Canis lupus familiaris: one gene and its partner. The protein of the gene in region 1 purifies or fractionates together with the protein of each later gene. This does not show direct contact. Links are inferred from orthologs where the notes say so. Each region holds a gene or a part of one and is shown in the gene's direction. Other genes may lie near its edges.

Region 1 (7,234 bases):
TTCTCACTGTTGTGCCAAAAATCCAGCTCCAGTTGGCAGAATCAGTGGATGTGCTGGATGAGGCTGGCTCTACTGTCTCCACTGTAGGTAGGTTGTACCTTTCCATTTTTGTGATTGCTTGGTCTGGATTTGTTTTTGTTTGCTATTCTGGCCATGTTTGTTTACTTAATTTGCAACATTAGAACAGAAGGTAGTAGTGGAGGGTGCGTTGTCCCATCTATGTTGTGCCATACGCTTTTATTTAAGGGAAGTTAAGTTAGTGAACTCAGGTTTTCTGAGTAGTACATGTGCTATGATGGCACATGTTCATTCTTGAAAACCTTATACATTGTAGAGTCTTGTGCTAAAAATAAAGTTTGTGGGAAAAATGGGTTGGGACAGACAGTAAAAAACTTAAAACTACTTCATAATCTGAGCTCTAACAAAATCCGTAATTGGCAAGCAGCTCAGAATGGACAAAAGCAATCATACACAAGAACAAAAGGAAAATACAGTTTTTTGAAATATACTTTATTAAGAGAAGGGCTGGTAAAGGCTCTTGCTAAGGTGAGCATGCAGAGTGGTGTGACTGGTTGTGAGTCTTGGGTGTACCACTTTGGGGAGAAAGCCTGAGATGCAGCTATTTGTTTTTACCTTTCTTCATATGTAGCAAAAGGGGTTCCTGATGCCACTGTGACATCCAGGCTGAGGGCTCTTCCCTTTTTTGCTAAAGGTTTTAATTTATTCCTACTATTTTTCTTCCCCTTACCCAGGAAAAATTGCACATAACCCTTAGTGACTTTCACATAATACTGACATCATTCCCCTATTTAACAACTGCATATGATGTATTGCGTCATGAAGATATATTGTAGTAGAACTGATTGCATTTTATTCAAAAAAATTCTTGTACTTTAATACAACAGTGTGGTAGTTTTAAGTGGAACAACATGAATGGAAGTCTGAATTTTGACTCTGGAACAGTCATTGAAGTTGCTTGTTAGTTTTATGAGGAACAATATGAAATGTTTTGTATTTCTACTCCATAGGTATCAGCATTATTTTGGGAGTGGCTGAGGGTGAGTTCTTTATCCATGATGCTGAAATTCAGAAGTCAGCACTTCAGATTATTATCAATTGTGTGTGTGGCCCGGATAACCGAATTTCCAGTATTGGCAAATTCATCTCTGGAACTCCTCGGAGAAAGCTGCCTCAGACTCCCAAAAGCAGCGAGCACACCCTGGCCAAGATGTGGAATGTGGTCCAGTCCAACAATGGCATCAAGGTGCTCCTGTCCTTACTGTCCATCAAGATGCCCATCACTGATGCAGACCAGATAAGGGCTCTGGCCTGCAAGGCCCTAGTGGGCCTATCACGCAGTAGCACCGTGCGGCAGATCATCAGCAAACTGCCTCTTTTCAGCAGCTGCCAGATTCAGCAGCTGATGAAGGAGCCTGTTCTGCAGGACAAGCGCAGTGACCATGTCAAGTTCTGCAAGTATGCTGCTGAGCTCATTGAACGAGTATCAGGAAAGCCACTTCTCATTGGCACTGATGTGTCTCTGGCACGACTGCAGAAAGCAGATGTTGTTGCCCAATCGAGGATTTCCTTCCCTGAGAAAGAGCTGCTTCTGTTGATACGAAACCATCTCATTTCTAAAGGGCTTGGGGAGACAGCAACTGTGCTGACAAAAGAGGCTGACTTGCCCATGACTGCTGCCTCTCATTCTTCTGCCTTCACCCCAGTCACTGCTGCTGCTTCTCCTGTCTCTCTTCCCCGAACCCCTCGCATGGCCAATGGCATTGCAACTCGACTGGGCAGCCATGCTCCTGTGGGTGCCTCTGCCCCTCCTGCTCCCACTGCCCATCCTCAGCCACGGCCCCCCCAGAGTTCACTAGCTTTGCCTGGACCATCTTATGCAGGCAGTTCCCCCTTGATTGGTAGGATCAGTTTTATCAGAGAGAGGCCATCACCCTGCAATGGCAGGAAAATCAGAGTGTTGCGGCAGAAGTCGGACCATGGCGCCTACAGCCAAAGCCCAGCCATAAAAAAGCAATTGGACAGACATCTTCCGTCCCCACCTACGCTGGACAGTATCATCACAGAATATCTTAGAGAGCAACATGCTCGATGCAAGAACCCGGTTGCCACCTGCCCACCTTTCTCTCTCTTTACTCCTCATCAATGCCCTGAGCCAAAACAGAGGCGGCAAGCGCCAATAAACTTTACCTCAAGGCTAAACCGCAGGGCATCATTTCCAAAGTATGGAGGGGTGGATGGAGGGTGCTTTGATAGGCACCTTATCTTTAGCAGGTAAGGAGAGGCCACCTCCCTGGGAATTGGAATGATTCTTCTATTTAAAACAAAGTGTATGGGTGATACTAGTATAGAATGATGAATCCAGAATGCCAGACTGTTTGTTGGCCTGAAATTCCAGTGATTATCTCCTTGTGTGAATACATGAGTAATGTAACTATACCCCCTTTTGTCAACCGTGGGTTCTTTGTGTGATTGTTGTATATTGTTAGGATACTCTGTGTTCTTGTTATAACTATTCTGTTTTCTAGAACCCATGCACCATGGTGTGCCTAACTAGACTCCCAAACTATTTTTTTTTTATTGGTGCAAGTTGTTTCCTACTCTGATCCTTCACAAATTTCATATAAGATGATGGAATCGCAAGGTTTAAACATGGGGATTTTTGTTAAAATTTGTAAGTAGAAGTCCTTTTCTCTCACTTAAAATGCAAATGAACCACTGAACGTCACTGTGATGTTTTGGAAGAATTTTAAACATATGTGTTTTGTTTCTTCTTTCAGACTTCTAGCAAAGTTTTCTTTTTTGGAGTCCTTGTGCATTCTTTGTTTCTGATTCTTCTTTTTCCTTTCTTTCTTTTTTTTGCTTAGGTTCCGTCCAATTTCAGTGTTCAGGGAAGCCAATGAAGATGAGAGTGGCTTCACTTGTTGTGCATTTTCAGCACGGGAGCGGTTCCTGATGCTTGGCACCTGCACTGGGCAATTGAAGCTCTATAATGTGTTTAGTGGACAGGAGGAGGCCAGCTATAACTGTCACAACTCGGCTATCACACATCTTGAACCTTCCAGAGTAAGGATCCCTTCTTAGGTTGTTCTAGGTCATTCTTCTAAGGTGGGTTGGTGAGCTGTGGGCTTGTAGGCTGGCTCTTTATTTGTATATAAACTTTTATTGGAACATAGCCATGCTTATCCATTTATATACGGTCTGTAGCTGCAACTGTGCTACAATGGCAGAGTTGAGTAGTTGTGACACAGACATATGGCTCACAAAGCCCTTCAAGTGAAAGTTTACCAATCCTCTTCTAAGAGGGGGAGCTGTGTGTGAATGTGAAAAAAATTTTTTTTTAATTTGCCTCAGATGGAAACAGTCTATTAGCTATGATCACAGAAGTTTTCTTTTTGTATTAGGAAGAAATCTCAAAGTACTGTTTTTAGGAAAACATTATAGGATCCTAGTGGGTCCTGGTTTATTAGTATTATTCTGTGGATGGAATTGATACTTTGGTTATTTCTTTTTTTTTTTTTTTTTTTTACAATTTTTTATTTATTCATGAGAGACACACAGAGAGAGAGAGAGAGAGAGAGAGAGGCAGAGACACAGGCAGAGGGAGAAGCAGGCTCCTTGCAGGGAGCTTAATGTGGGACTCGATCCCAGGTCTCCAGGATCACGCCTTGGTCTGAAGGCGATGCTAAACTGCTGAGCCACCGGGCTGCCCTGTTATTTCTATAAGTCATTAAGAAGTCTATAATTCATTAAGATGACAAGGGTAATTTCCTTGATTTTAGAGTAAAGGAGACTCAGCTCTTATTGGGCTTTTTTTTTTTTTTTTAAGATTTTATTTATTTATTCATGAGAGACAGAGTGAGAGAGAGAGTGGGGAAGGGGAGGCAGAGACACCGGCAGAGGGAGAAGTAGGCTCCATGCAAGGCGCCTGACGTGGGACTCGATCCTGGCAGGATCACACCCTGGGCTGAAGTCGGCGCTAAACCGCTAAGCCACCCAGGCTGCCTGGGCTTTTTTCTTTTGAAAGAATTTTAAGAGTTTTTAGCTAAGAAAGTCTAACAAATTGGTATTTCAGATGAGGGAGACTGAGGTATAATATAGCCAAATATTTAAGAAAGGAGGAACCATCTTTGACATCCAAGTTTTTTCTTCCCCTACCCTTGTAACTATTATATTTTTTTGTTACTAGGTCAGGAGGATTTAGTATTTCCTAAATTTAAGTATTTTTTTAGGACATTGCATGTGCACATATTGAAATTCTAGCAGCTTCAACCATTTCTTGGTTCTTTGTGGAGTTTTTCTGTTTTCTATATAATACAGTAGTATTTTTTTAAGCTTGCATTTTAAAATGCTAAGGGCAGGTAGCATTTATATAAACGTGATTACCCACTGTGGGCCTCCTTCTTCTTTTAGGATGGGTCCTTGCTGTTGACATCTGCTACTTGGAGCCAGCCTCTGTCTGCACTTTGGGGAATGAAATCAGTATTTGATATGAAGTATGTATCTACTTTTATAACCCTAGTCTTTCTGTTCTATAAATCACCTAATTTGTATTCCCCTTCATCCAGTTCTTCAACTTGAAGCCTTTTGGGAAAAGATGAATGCTGTGAGTTATTGTTAGTTTCTCTTTCTCATCTGTGGCTCATATTTAATAAGATTGTATCCTTTTTAATTCCAGGATATTCTTACCAAGTATTCTTACCACTCCCATCACACAGCTGACCCTTCACTAATCCAAAATGGCACATCTGTGTATTTTCTCATGTTCACATATGACAGTTGCACTCTTTATCTTTCAAAGACATGTGTGGCCATTTTTTTTTTTTAAACCAAGTAACTCCTGTTAATTACCTGTAATTAATTCTTTTGGGTCTTCTTGGTCAAACATGGAGGAAAAATTTTTTTTTTTTTTAATATTAAACATACAATTTTTCCTCTTTCGTTGCTGGGAATCCTGAGATGAGTATGGTCAGGCAGGAGGCTGAGAATCATGTTTATTTTCAGTGTTGAGTGGATATGTTCTGAAGGTCCATTGCTTATGTACTTCTGTTGTTTGTAGGCATTCCTTCACAGAAGATCACTATGTTGAGTTCAGTAAGCACTCTCAGGATCGGGTCATAGGTACAAAAGGAGACATTGCTCACGTAAGTACTTAATCCCCTGCTTTCAAGCTAATTATGCCCATTTGTTTGTGCTCAAAGCTCCTGGACTGAAGGACAGTCCTAAGGGCAACAATAAATTACTTAGTGATATTCTTTGTAGATAGAATCTAGAAGTGTAATTAAGTAGTTCTAAGCTATATGGGACCAAACATGAACTAATCTGGCAATTCGAGAAAGATGTCATTAGCATAGCAGTTATTTTCAAATACTTACTAAGTTTTAGATGAATTTTAAGTCTCTGCCTTTATGAAGCCTTACTGGGGAGACAGTATATAAGCAAATATATAGTATGTCTGTTGGTAAGTGCTGCCAAGAAAAAGAAGCAGGGTAAGAGGAAGTGGTGGTGATGGTGTGGGGGACTTGTATTTTATCTAGGATAGTCAGTATCACTGACTGGGTAATGTTTAAGGAATATTTTGAAGGAATTGTGGATGTCATGTAGATATTTGGGGGAAAAGTATTTTAAGATAGAGGGAATGTCAAGGGAAAAGTCCTTACTTGGGAGGTGGGAGAGAGAGGAGGGGGAACAGCTCAGGTCAGTGTCAGGGGGAGAGGGTGACATGTCATAGTAGCATCTGACAGGCTGTTGTTAGGACCTTTGACTTTTCCTGTGAATGAGATGCAGACACTATAGGGTGAGCAGAGGACACATGACTGGCTGTAAAGTTCCTAAAATGTGAGTCTAGAGCAAGAGCAGGCTTTCCAGTTAGGAGGGTGTCATGACAACTTGCATGTGAGGCCTGCAATGGGCTGGGCCCAGTTGAGCATGGCACAGGTGATGAGAAGTGATACAGCTAGGCCCTGGGATTCTGGATGCATGCAGTTCTTCTATTAGACATTCAAGTAAGAAATGGCAGTTGAATATACAAAATGGGAATTCAAGAGAGAGGTCTGGGATAGCAGATACTAATACAGGAATTACCTACATGTTGATAGTCTTTAGAGCCATGAACCTGGATGAGATCATTAAGGAGGCTAGAGAAGAGAACTGTGGGGACAGTCCTAGGATGTGCCAATATTTCAGATTTGCCATGTGACCAGGACTTGGGAGGGAGACCAAAGAGAATGGCCAGTAAGACAGCAGGAGACCTTATGAAAAAAATATACCACAGACGGCAAGGGAAGATTCTTTTGAGGAAGACTCGATCAGCTGAGTCAAAAACTATTCATGAGTTTTTAAGATGAGAGTTTGAGAGGTGCTTTTGATTGAACAATTGGAGCTTTTTATTAACCACGTGAGGAGCTACTTCTGTGCATCAGGGCCAGTCTGATTAGAGTAGGTTCATGAGAGAACAGGGAAGTGGAGGCACTGAGTAGAGACCAGTCTTCTGAAGTATTTTTGCTGGAAAACAAAGCAGAGAAGTGGGGTATAGTAGCTTGAAGGGGGGAATTCTCTCAAACTCTTCACTTGAAAATGTTAAAATACATAGAAAAGCTGAAAGAGTAGTACATATACCGACCACCTAGATTCAGCAATGTAATGTTTTACCATTTTTCTTTCTAAATATATGTATGTGTTTCTGAATCATTTGAAAGTTAGTTGCAGACATCGGGACATTTTATCTCTACGTCTTACAGCATGCATAGTCTAGCAATAAGGACATTTTACTACATAATAATATTCTATTATCAAACATAAGAAAATTTATATTAGTTCCCAAATAATCATCTAATATTCATCCGTACTCAGTTTTCCCCATTGTTCCTTTGTTCCTGATGTGTTTGGTTTCAAGTGCCTTTTTTTTTTGAACCAGGATCCAGCCAAGATTCACATAATTGCATTTGGTTGTTATGTCTCACTAATGTTTTATTTTATTCTATTTTTTTAAAAGATTTTATTTATTTATTCATGAGAGATACAGAGAGAGAGAGAGGCAGAGACACAGGCAGAGGGAGAAGCAGGCTGCATGCAGGGAGCCTGCTGTGGGACTCAATCCTGGGTCTCCAGGATCACGCCCTGAGCCGAAGGCAGGCGCTAAACTGCTGAGCTACCCAGGGATCCCCTCACTAATGTTTTAAAGCCAAGCAGCATTTCTTTAGTTTTCATGACATTG
Region 2 (7,901 bases), on another chromosome or scaffold:
CACATATCATTTGTGTAAAAACATTTCAGGTGGAAATGAAAACATAGAATATTTAATTTTAGGATAAGGAAGGTCTAGTTTTATTTAGTTATAACAATTCATTTAATCTGTATTGCAAACCTATGTAGTAGATACTATGATTTTTATCCATTTGAATATTAAAGAAATGGATGGAAAGGGAGTTGAGTGACTTGCCCAAGGTCAGGAAGGTCTTCTTAAGACACAAAATACAGGAGTACCTGGGTGGCTCAGTTGCTTTAGCATCGGGGACTCTTGATTTTGGCTAAGGTCATGATCTCAAGGTGGTACTGAGCTCCATCTTGTGCTTTGCATCAGCCAGTCTGCTTGAGATTCTCTCCCTCTCCCTCTCTCTCTCTGCCCCTCCACCTGATTCCATGTGTGTGTGGAGAATGTGCATGCCCATGTGCCCTCTCTCTCTCAAAAAAAGAAATAAATCTTTAAGACACAAAATGCAGAAGCCATATGGAAAATGCTGATGAATTTGAAATGATAATTTAAAATTTGTTCAACAGGGTGGCCTGGGTGACTCAGTCAGTTAAGCATCTGTCTTCAGAGTCCTGGGATGAAGTCCCTCTCCCTCTGGCCTTCCCTCATGCTCATGCTCTCTCTCAATATAACATCCTTAAAAATAAATAAATAAATAAATAAATAAATAAATAAATAAATAAATAAAATTTGTTCAACTAAAAAGGAGATGAACAATATATTGATGGAAAATATTTGCAACATACAGAACAGGCAAATGATATTAAGGCACACACACAAACCAGTAAGTAAAAAATTCAATAGTAAAATGGGCAAAAAACAAAATCAACAAGTGATTCACAGAAAAGGAACTGCCAAACAGAAGATTTTGCAACTTCTCTAACAATAATAAGAGCTAATATATAATGTTTACTAGGCATCAGGTGCTTTTCTAAATGCTTCAGCTATCAACTCATTCAATCTTCGTAACAACCCTATGAGATAAGTACTATTTTTAACCCCATTTACAGATGAGGAAATTGAGGCTGAGGTTAAATGAGTTGCTCAGGGACAACCAAGAGTGTAGGGCTGGGATTCCAACACAGAACAGCTCTACAGTCCAGAATTCTTCTTAACCACTATGCTCTATTACCTGTCCAGGGATCTAGATATCCAGGGAAATACAAATTAAAATAAGGTATCACTTGTCTAAATTGGCAAAAATATAAAAGACAGAGTCAATGTGGAACTGAGCACTGTCAACATCGCTGGTAGGAGACTCTAATGGTGCTTTCTTTTGGTAGAAAAAAACTCTTACAGAAACAGATTCAATGAAAGTTCAGAAAAACAATTCACCCAATAAAAAAGGTGGACAATAAGCAGTTTGTTTTACTAAAAGATTGTGTTTTCCTGAAGGTAGTAGCAAATTCTAGAACTCCTTTCCTTTCTCTCTTAATCCTCAGATGTCAATAAAGGCTACCAGAGGATGAGCATCCTCTTGCTCCCATGCTAACTTTTTTATGCGGCTGCTTCCCTTGAGATTTAATCAGCTCAGGTCAAACCTTCTCTGAAAGCCTGTTTCTTAATACACTAACGTCATCATTGAACTGGTTAATTCACCTGATGATGATTTCTACTCTTTTCCACATGTGTCCCTTAACCTCTTTCTCAACAGCTTCAAGAGCCCAGACTGAGGTAAGAAGTTTCTTTGTTTGAAAACCATTAAAAAGATTCTTTCTTGTTTTCAGCAGTATGTTAATTCCAATTGGACCAAAAACGTTGCTTCTGAAATCTCTCAATTCCCCAGTCTCTGATTTTACTATCTACAGTATACATGTAACTAACAATACAAATTACTTAGGGGAAAAATAAAATCCATGTCACAGCTTTTCTAAGACTTCAGCCATCCCTATTTACTTATAGGTGCCATTATGAAAAAAGACACCGAAAGGTACACGAAGCTATAAAAAGAGGCTTTTACTAAACTTTACCACGAATGACCTTATGCCTAGTGTATAATGCCTTCCGTTTTTTTTCAAAAGAAGCATAGCAGATCAGCTTCCATTTGAAACTTTTCATTTGTATATCTAAAATGTCCTGTAACTTTTTTGTTGTTGTTGTTGTTGTTGCATTTTGGGTTCTAAAATTTACTACCAACTTGCTTTCTGACTGTGAAAAGCAATTAAAATTTCCAGCGGTGAAATGGGCATCGTGAAAACACAAAGGCAGCTCAGAGAACAGTGCTTCACTAAATCTCCTTTGGGGGGGTGGGGGGAGACCTAAAGTGATGACTACAACTTCACGGAGAGAAGAATTTGAGAACGTTCCATTTTGTACGCACGGGATGTAAAAAGAGATTTAAGCTCAGCAGGAAAATGTGAAATTGGAATGTCCAGGTTTGCCTATTTTTCATCCGCATCCTATGGTCACAGACAGACACTCCATTTAAACACGAGGCTTCCTAATACGTTAAAGAGAGAAAGAAGGTTGCACAAGCGGCACCACAACAGGCCAGGCCTGGGGCAATGATTTCTAGATCCTGCTAAATCCTACCGTGTCCCCAAAGTAATCAAATAATTGCTGGACAGCTCCACCTGGTCTCCGCGTGAACCTCACAAACGCAAGCGCGCAGATACCTTTGCCAGGAGTCCCGGTGCAAAACCAAAACACCTCAAGGCATCTCACGCTCGAGTGCAGGGTCCTCACTTCGCTGGACAGAAAAGTGAAAGGCTGAGAGAGAAGCTGCCACCATCCAGTGCCTCACAAGGCCAAGAGAGTGTTAAGATGAGGTGGATCCCGGGCTTCTCTTGGCCCACCTTCCTCTCTGCTCCAGCCCTGGAAGGAGCCACAAGTGAGGCAGAGAAGTTGTGGAAACAAGGAGGGGGTGGCGTAGAGGGGGGGACGGGGGAACCCGGGAGAGTTCAGCACAAGCATTTGCATTTGTCCCACCCAAGGTCACTCGCTCCGAGTCACTTTTCCCTGCTCCCCCGGGGCCTTCCCGCCAAACGGGCTGCAGGGCTGCGAGGCCAGCCCCCCGCGCCCCTCGGCCCTCCCTGCGGGCCGCAGCCCCCCTTCTGGCCTCCGGGCGCGGGCCGAGGCTCGGACCCAAGCCGGCCTCACCGCCACGCGTTTCCGACGCCCGCCGCGTCTCCCAGCCCAATTCGGACAGGGGCTCCTCCACTCCAGCCCCCGGCTCCCGGCAACGTCTCCTTCCTCCCTCAGGACGCCCCCTGCCCCGCCTCCAGTACCCGGTCCCGCCGGGGGGACCGGGACGCCGTTCCCTCGGTCCCCTCCGTCCCCTCCCGCCGCGCTCCCGTCCCGAGCCCAGCAGGCGCGGCCCCCGCCCCCGGCCCGTCTCCTCCGCCAGCGGCCGCCCCCCAAGTCCTCCCGGCCCCGCCCCGCCCCACTCCCGGGCGGATACAGTTTGAAGCCCTTCAGGATCTCCCTGGCCCTCTCGTCCTTGGCTGACATGATGCGGCGGCCGCCGCCCGCGGCTCTCCCACGCTGGCCCGGCGGAGCCTCGCAGACGGTGCCCAGGAACCGAGGACGGAGCCGCAGCGCGGCCTGGAGACCTCCAGCGAGCAGCGGCAGCGGCCAGACCCGGACCGGCCTCTCCCTCCCCTCAGCTCCCGCTCCTGATCCCTTCTCCTTCCCCCTAGCCTCGGAGCGCCCGCCCCAAAGCCAATGGAAAGCCCTCCTCGCCGATTGGCATCCCGAGCAGCCAATAGAAACATTCAGCGGCTTCGCCGGGGGACGACGAGCGTCAGTGGGAAGGGCCCTCCCCGGGAAGTCCCGTAGGACAAATTTTTCTTTAGGTCTTGTTGCCTAGAGTTTGCCCCAGCGGAGGGTTGGCTTCAGATCTGCAGAGGCTCGAGGGGCCCGCTCCCTCCGCGGGGCACACTAGGGCGCTGAAATGACGGCGGGTTGCCCTGTGCGATGTGAGAGAGACTACATTTCCCAGCATTCCGGGGGAGTGCCCGGGGGAACCACAGATCCCATCACGCAACAAAGAGGCCCGGGGACTACAAATCCCAGCATTCCCTGCACCCTGTTCCTCTGTAACTTAGACTCCAGTGTGCCGCGCAGTGTGCGCAAATTCGTAAACCTTCCCTCAGCCTTGGGGGTTTCTGAATTCGGAGACTTGAAACTGGGCGGGAAGACCCCCTTAACTCTCAGAAGAGGATGACAGCCCACAGGGAGGTAACATCTGTTTACATGGAACTCAGAAATCTCCTGCAAATCATGGTAAGGCTGCAAACAACAAACAAAAACACTTGATTAAACCACGGAAGATAAAATGACTCCTTTAAATCGTGCTTGTTTGTTGGTCTGGGGCGCCTTTTACTTGTTTTGCAGGGGTTTCTGGTGTGCTCCTGCGTTGGGCTGGGAGAGATATGGATCGTATACTCAGACTCTCCCTACCGGAAGGGATATTAAGAGAATTTGCCAAACCACCCTCTGTTGTTTTACATACGAGGAAACTGAGGCCCCAGAGAGGCGAAGCGATCGTCCACTGGTTACAGCAACTTGGGACAGAGTTAGAATTCGGCTCTAAGTCTCCTGACCCTCAGTTTGGGCTGTTTACACCACACTGAGGTGGCGATATTTTTAGCAGCATGGCTGTGTGATTATTATTTTCCTTAGTGAAGTATCCTCATCCAGGTTGAAACACCCAGAGGTTAGGTAAGCATTCATTTTGGTGGATTTCCTGTAAGTGAAGGAGTGTGATGTTTGTTTATCTTCAGTCTAGGAAGGACTTAGTGTTTTGATTTGTTATTTGTTGCTCAAGGTGACATTTAATGTGATTTCAGGAACTAGGTAAAATTGTAGCGTAAGCTAAGGTTTCCTTGGACATCTCCTATCTCTTTTCCGAGGCCTTCCTTCCTCTTCCCGTCCCCCTTTCACCCATCTGGGCACCCACCCAATTTTTCCTTCCATGTAATTCAACAAAGAGCCTTTTCAGGTTTCCGGTAAAGGGTGAAAAGGCATTGTCACTGCCTCCAGGAAGATAACCATCTAGTTAGGAAAAAAAGGAGACTCTGCTGAGATTCAAGATGAACTGCAATAAATGTCATAAAGGAAAGGTCATCAGAATGCTACAGAGGTTCTGATGGAAAGATCAGATCCAGCTGGCAAAACTTGATGGAGGAGGTGGCATTTGAATTTGAACGATGGGTGGATTTTTTTTTTTCCTGTTAAAAAAACTTTATCTTAAAATTTTTTTGTTCATGAGGTATGACATGCAGGAAGGGCACAGTTTTGACATTTGTATACATCTGTGTCACCACCCCCCAAATCAAAATATAGAACATTTCTGGCACCCCTGTGCCCCTTCCCAATCAGCACTGCATCCTCCCATCCCGATAACTATTCTGACTTCTATTACCATAAATCAGTTTTGTTGTGAATTTCATTTAAATGTAATCATACAGTATGTACAGTAGGAGCCTGGCTTTTTTTCTTCATCAGTTGTGTGTTTTTTTTTTTTTTTTTTTTGTGAGATTCATCCATGTTGTATGTAGCAGCTTTTTTTTTTTTTAATTACTGACTAGTATTCTATTGTGTGTATCTAGCAATATTTATCTGTTCTATTGATGGGTATTTATGTTATCAGTTAACAGTTTTTGGCTTTTGTTAAAGCTGCAATGCGCATTCTTATAGGTTTCTTTTTGTAGACTGCACTTATTTCTAGGAGAGGAATGGCTGGCTTGTACAGTATGCATATGATCAGCAACAGTATGTCAGTTTTCCAAAGTGTTTGTATCATTTTCCCTTTCACCTGCAACGTAAGAAAATTCTAGTTGACTCTTATCCTTGTCAAAACAGGTTCTTTGGGCAGCCCGGGTGGCTCAGTGGTTTAGCACCGCCTTCAGCCCAGGGCATGATCCTGGAGACCTAGGATTGAGTCCCAGTCAGGCTTCCTGCATGAAGCCTGCTTCTCCCTCTGCCTGTCTCTGCCTCTCTTTCTCTCTGTCTCTCATGAATAAATAAATAAAATCTTAAAAAAAAAACCAACCAGGGTCTTAGAGGTCTTTCTAACTTTAGCTCTTTTGGCTATAAATGTGGTATCTTATTACAGTCTTTTCTTGCATTGTCTCTGATGTTGAGCACTTTTCATATGATTTTTAATTATTTCAGTGTTTTCTTTTGTAAAGTGCTTGTTCAAGTCTTTTCCCTACTTTTTAAATTGGGCTTTTTGTCTACTTATTCATACTGATTTGTAGTTCTTTATGAAGTTTGGATATGGAGTTCTTTGATACAGGCTTCAGGAATATCTTTTCCAGCTCTGTGGCTTGCCTCTTCAGTCTCGCATTGGTGTCATTTGATAATCAGAAATTCTAAATTATAATGTAGTGTAGTAGCTCAGTGTTTTCTTTTATGATTAGTGCTTTTGTGCATTGAGTTTAAGAAATCTCTGCCTACAGGGTTGGTAGGATTTTAACAGGCAAAAATAGGAGGGAAGAGCATTGCAAAAAAGGATGGAGAGCAAGCTTGAGCATAGGCCCTGGTGTCAGAGAGGGAAGGTGGAGGTTGTGTTGGGCATAGGAAGGCCTAGGGTTTTGGCTGTAAGAGGGTGGGACGAGCCAAAGCTGGAAAGGTTGGAGGGAAGCATACTGAGAAGGGATTTCTCTGCAGCCCTGGAGTCTGGACATTATTCTGGAAGAAGTGGAAGTACTGCTAGAATATTTATGAACTCAAACAGAACTTAATTATCTTCCTATTACCGCAAATTTGCTTTTTTTCCTCTGCAGCCCCATTTACTTAGAAACATCACCTCTGAGTGAATAGCCAGAGTCTTGGGTGATACCCTTCTTCCCTATCCCTGCATTCAGCTGGTCAGCACATCGGACACATTCCATAGTCTAAATGCCTCCCACCACGTCCCTTCTGTTTCATGCCCAACTGCCACTGTCTTTGTTCAGGATCTCACAATCTCTTTTCTGTACTATATCAATCACCTCAAGAGTTTCCCTGCTTCCAGCTCTCTCCATATCCAATCCATTCTTATAGCAGCTAGTGTGAGCATTCTAAAGTGGCAATTATTCACACTTCTCCACAGGTTAAAAGCCCTAAGTTCTGCCACCCCCCAGCACCCTCAAGATAAAATAATAACTCCTTTACATGGCTTATACTTTTTGTGATTTGCTTGCTCATTCTTCCATGTTCAACTCAAGCCTCGTCTCCAGAACCCTGCTTTAAATCACCTTTCTCCAGAGCACAGGCAGGAGAAGAGCCTTAATCTGTAGTTCTAGGGTGCCTATGGCAACTGGCTGTTATAGCCAGACAGGTTTGTCTCTCTCCAGGGCTGTGGGCTAATCCCAGGTAGGGACTCTGCAGTATTAAGATATTTACTGCGTATAGTGCCGTGCGTGTGGTTTATAGCACCCTTGATGACCTGACTCCAGGTCTGTAGCCCTCATTTCTCAAACCTGAGCCTTGTATTCCAGACACTCTGGGTTTCTTTTCTGCATTAGTATATGCTACACAGGGCAAGCCTCTGTGACTATGGTCAGCCACCTTTTCTTCCCTTTTTGCCTGGAAGATGCCTGTTTTCTTTTCCCCAACATACTCTCTTCTATGCTTCTAAAGTATTGTCATATCTTTCTCATAGCACTTAACATATTGAAGCTTTTCTCTTCTTCTTCTTCTTCTTCTTCTTCTTCTTCTTCTTCTTCTTCTTCTTCTTCTTCTTCTTCTTCTTCTTCTTCTTCTTTTTTTTAAAGTAAGCTTCTTGCGCAACATGGGGTTTGAACTCAGGACTGGTGATTGAGAGTTGCATGCTCTACCAACTGACCCAGCCAGGCGCCCCCACACTGAAGCTTTTTGAGGGCAAGAACCTTGTCTTCTCTTTATATAATCTACCAGAACATAGAAATTAGAACAAGACATTTTTGCATAAATCAGTGGGTTGGTGC

Evidence for each region. The genes of interacting proteins can lie anywhere in the genome.
Region 2: the proteins of DCAF1 (region 1) and COPS7B purify together in Homo sapiens (affinity purification with mass spectrometry; 3 studies listed by BioGRID, with this or other methods). This does not show direct contact. The link is inferred for Canis lupus familiaris from reciprocal best matches to the Homo sapiens genes DCAF1 and COPS7B.

Annotation. Positions count from the first base shown.
Region 1 is NC_049241.1:38,562,874-38,570,107, forward strand, and holds part of DCAF1 (DDB1- and CUL4-associated factor 1), read left to right. Parts: coding exon 1-87; intron 88-1,028; coding exon 1,029-2,292; intron 2,293-2,885; coding exon 2,886-3,084; intron 3,085-4,431; coding exon 4,432-4,514; intron 4,515-5,077; coding exon 5,078-5,162; intron 5,163-7,234. UniProt on the Homo sapiens protein: Acts both as a substrate recognition component of E3 ubiquitin-protein ligase complexes and as an atypical serine/threonine-protein kinase, playing key roles in various processes such as cell cycle, telomerase regulation and histone modification.
Region 2 is NC_049246.1:43,816,069-43,823,969, forward strand, and holds the start of COPS7B (COP9 signalosome complex subunit 7b), read left to right. Parts: upstream 1-3,833; 5' UTR 3,834-4,230; intron 4,231-7,901. Other genes in the region: PDE6D (retinal rod rhodopsin-sensitive cGMP 3',5'-cyclic phosphodiesterase subunit delta), read right to left, coding at 3,407-3,456. UniProt on the Homo sapiens protein: Component of the COP9 signalosome complex (CSN), a complex involved in various cellular and developmental processes.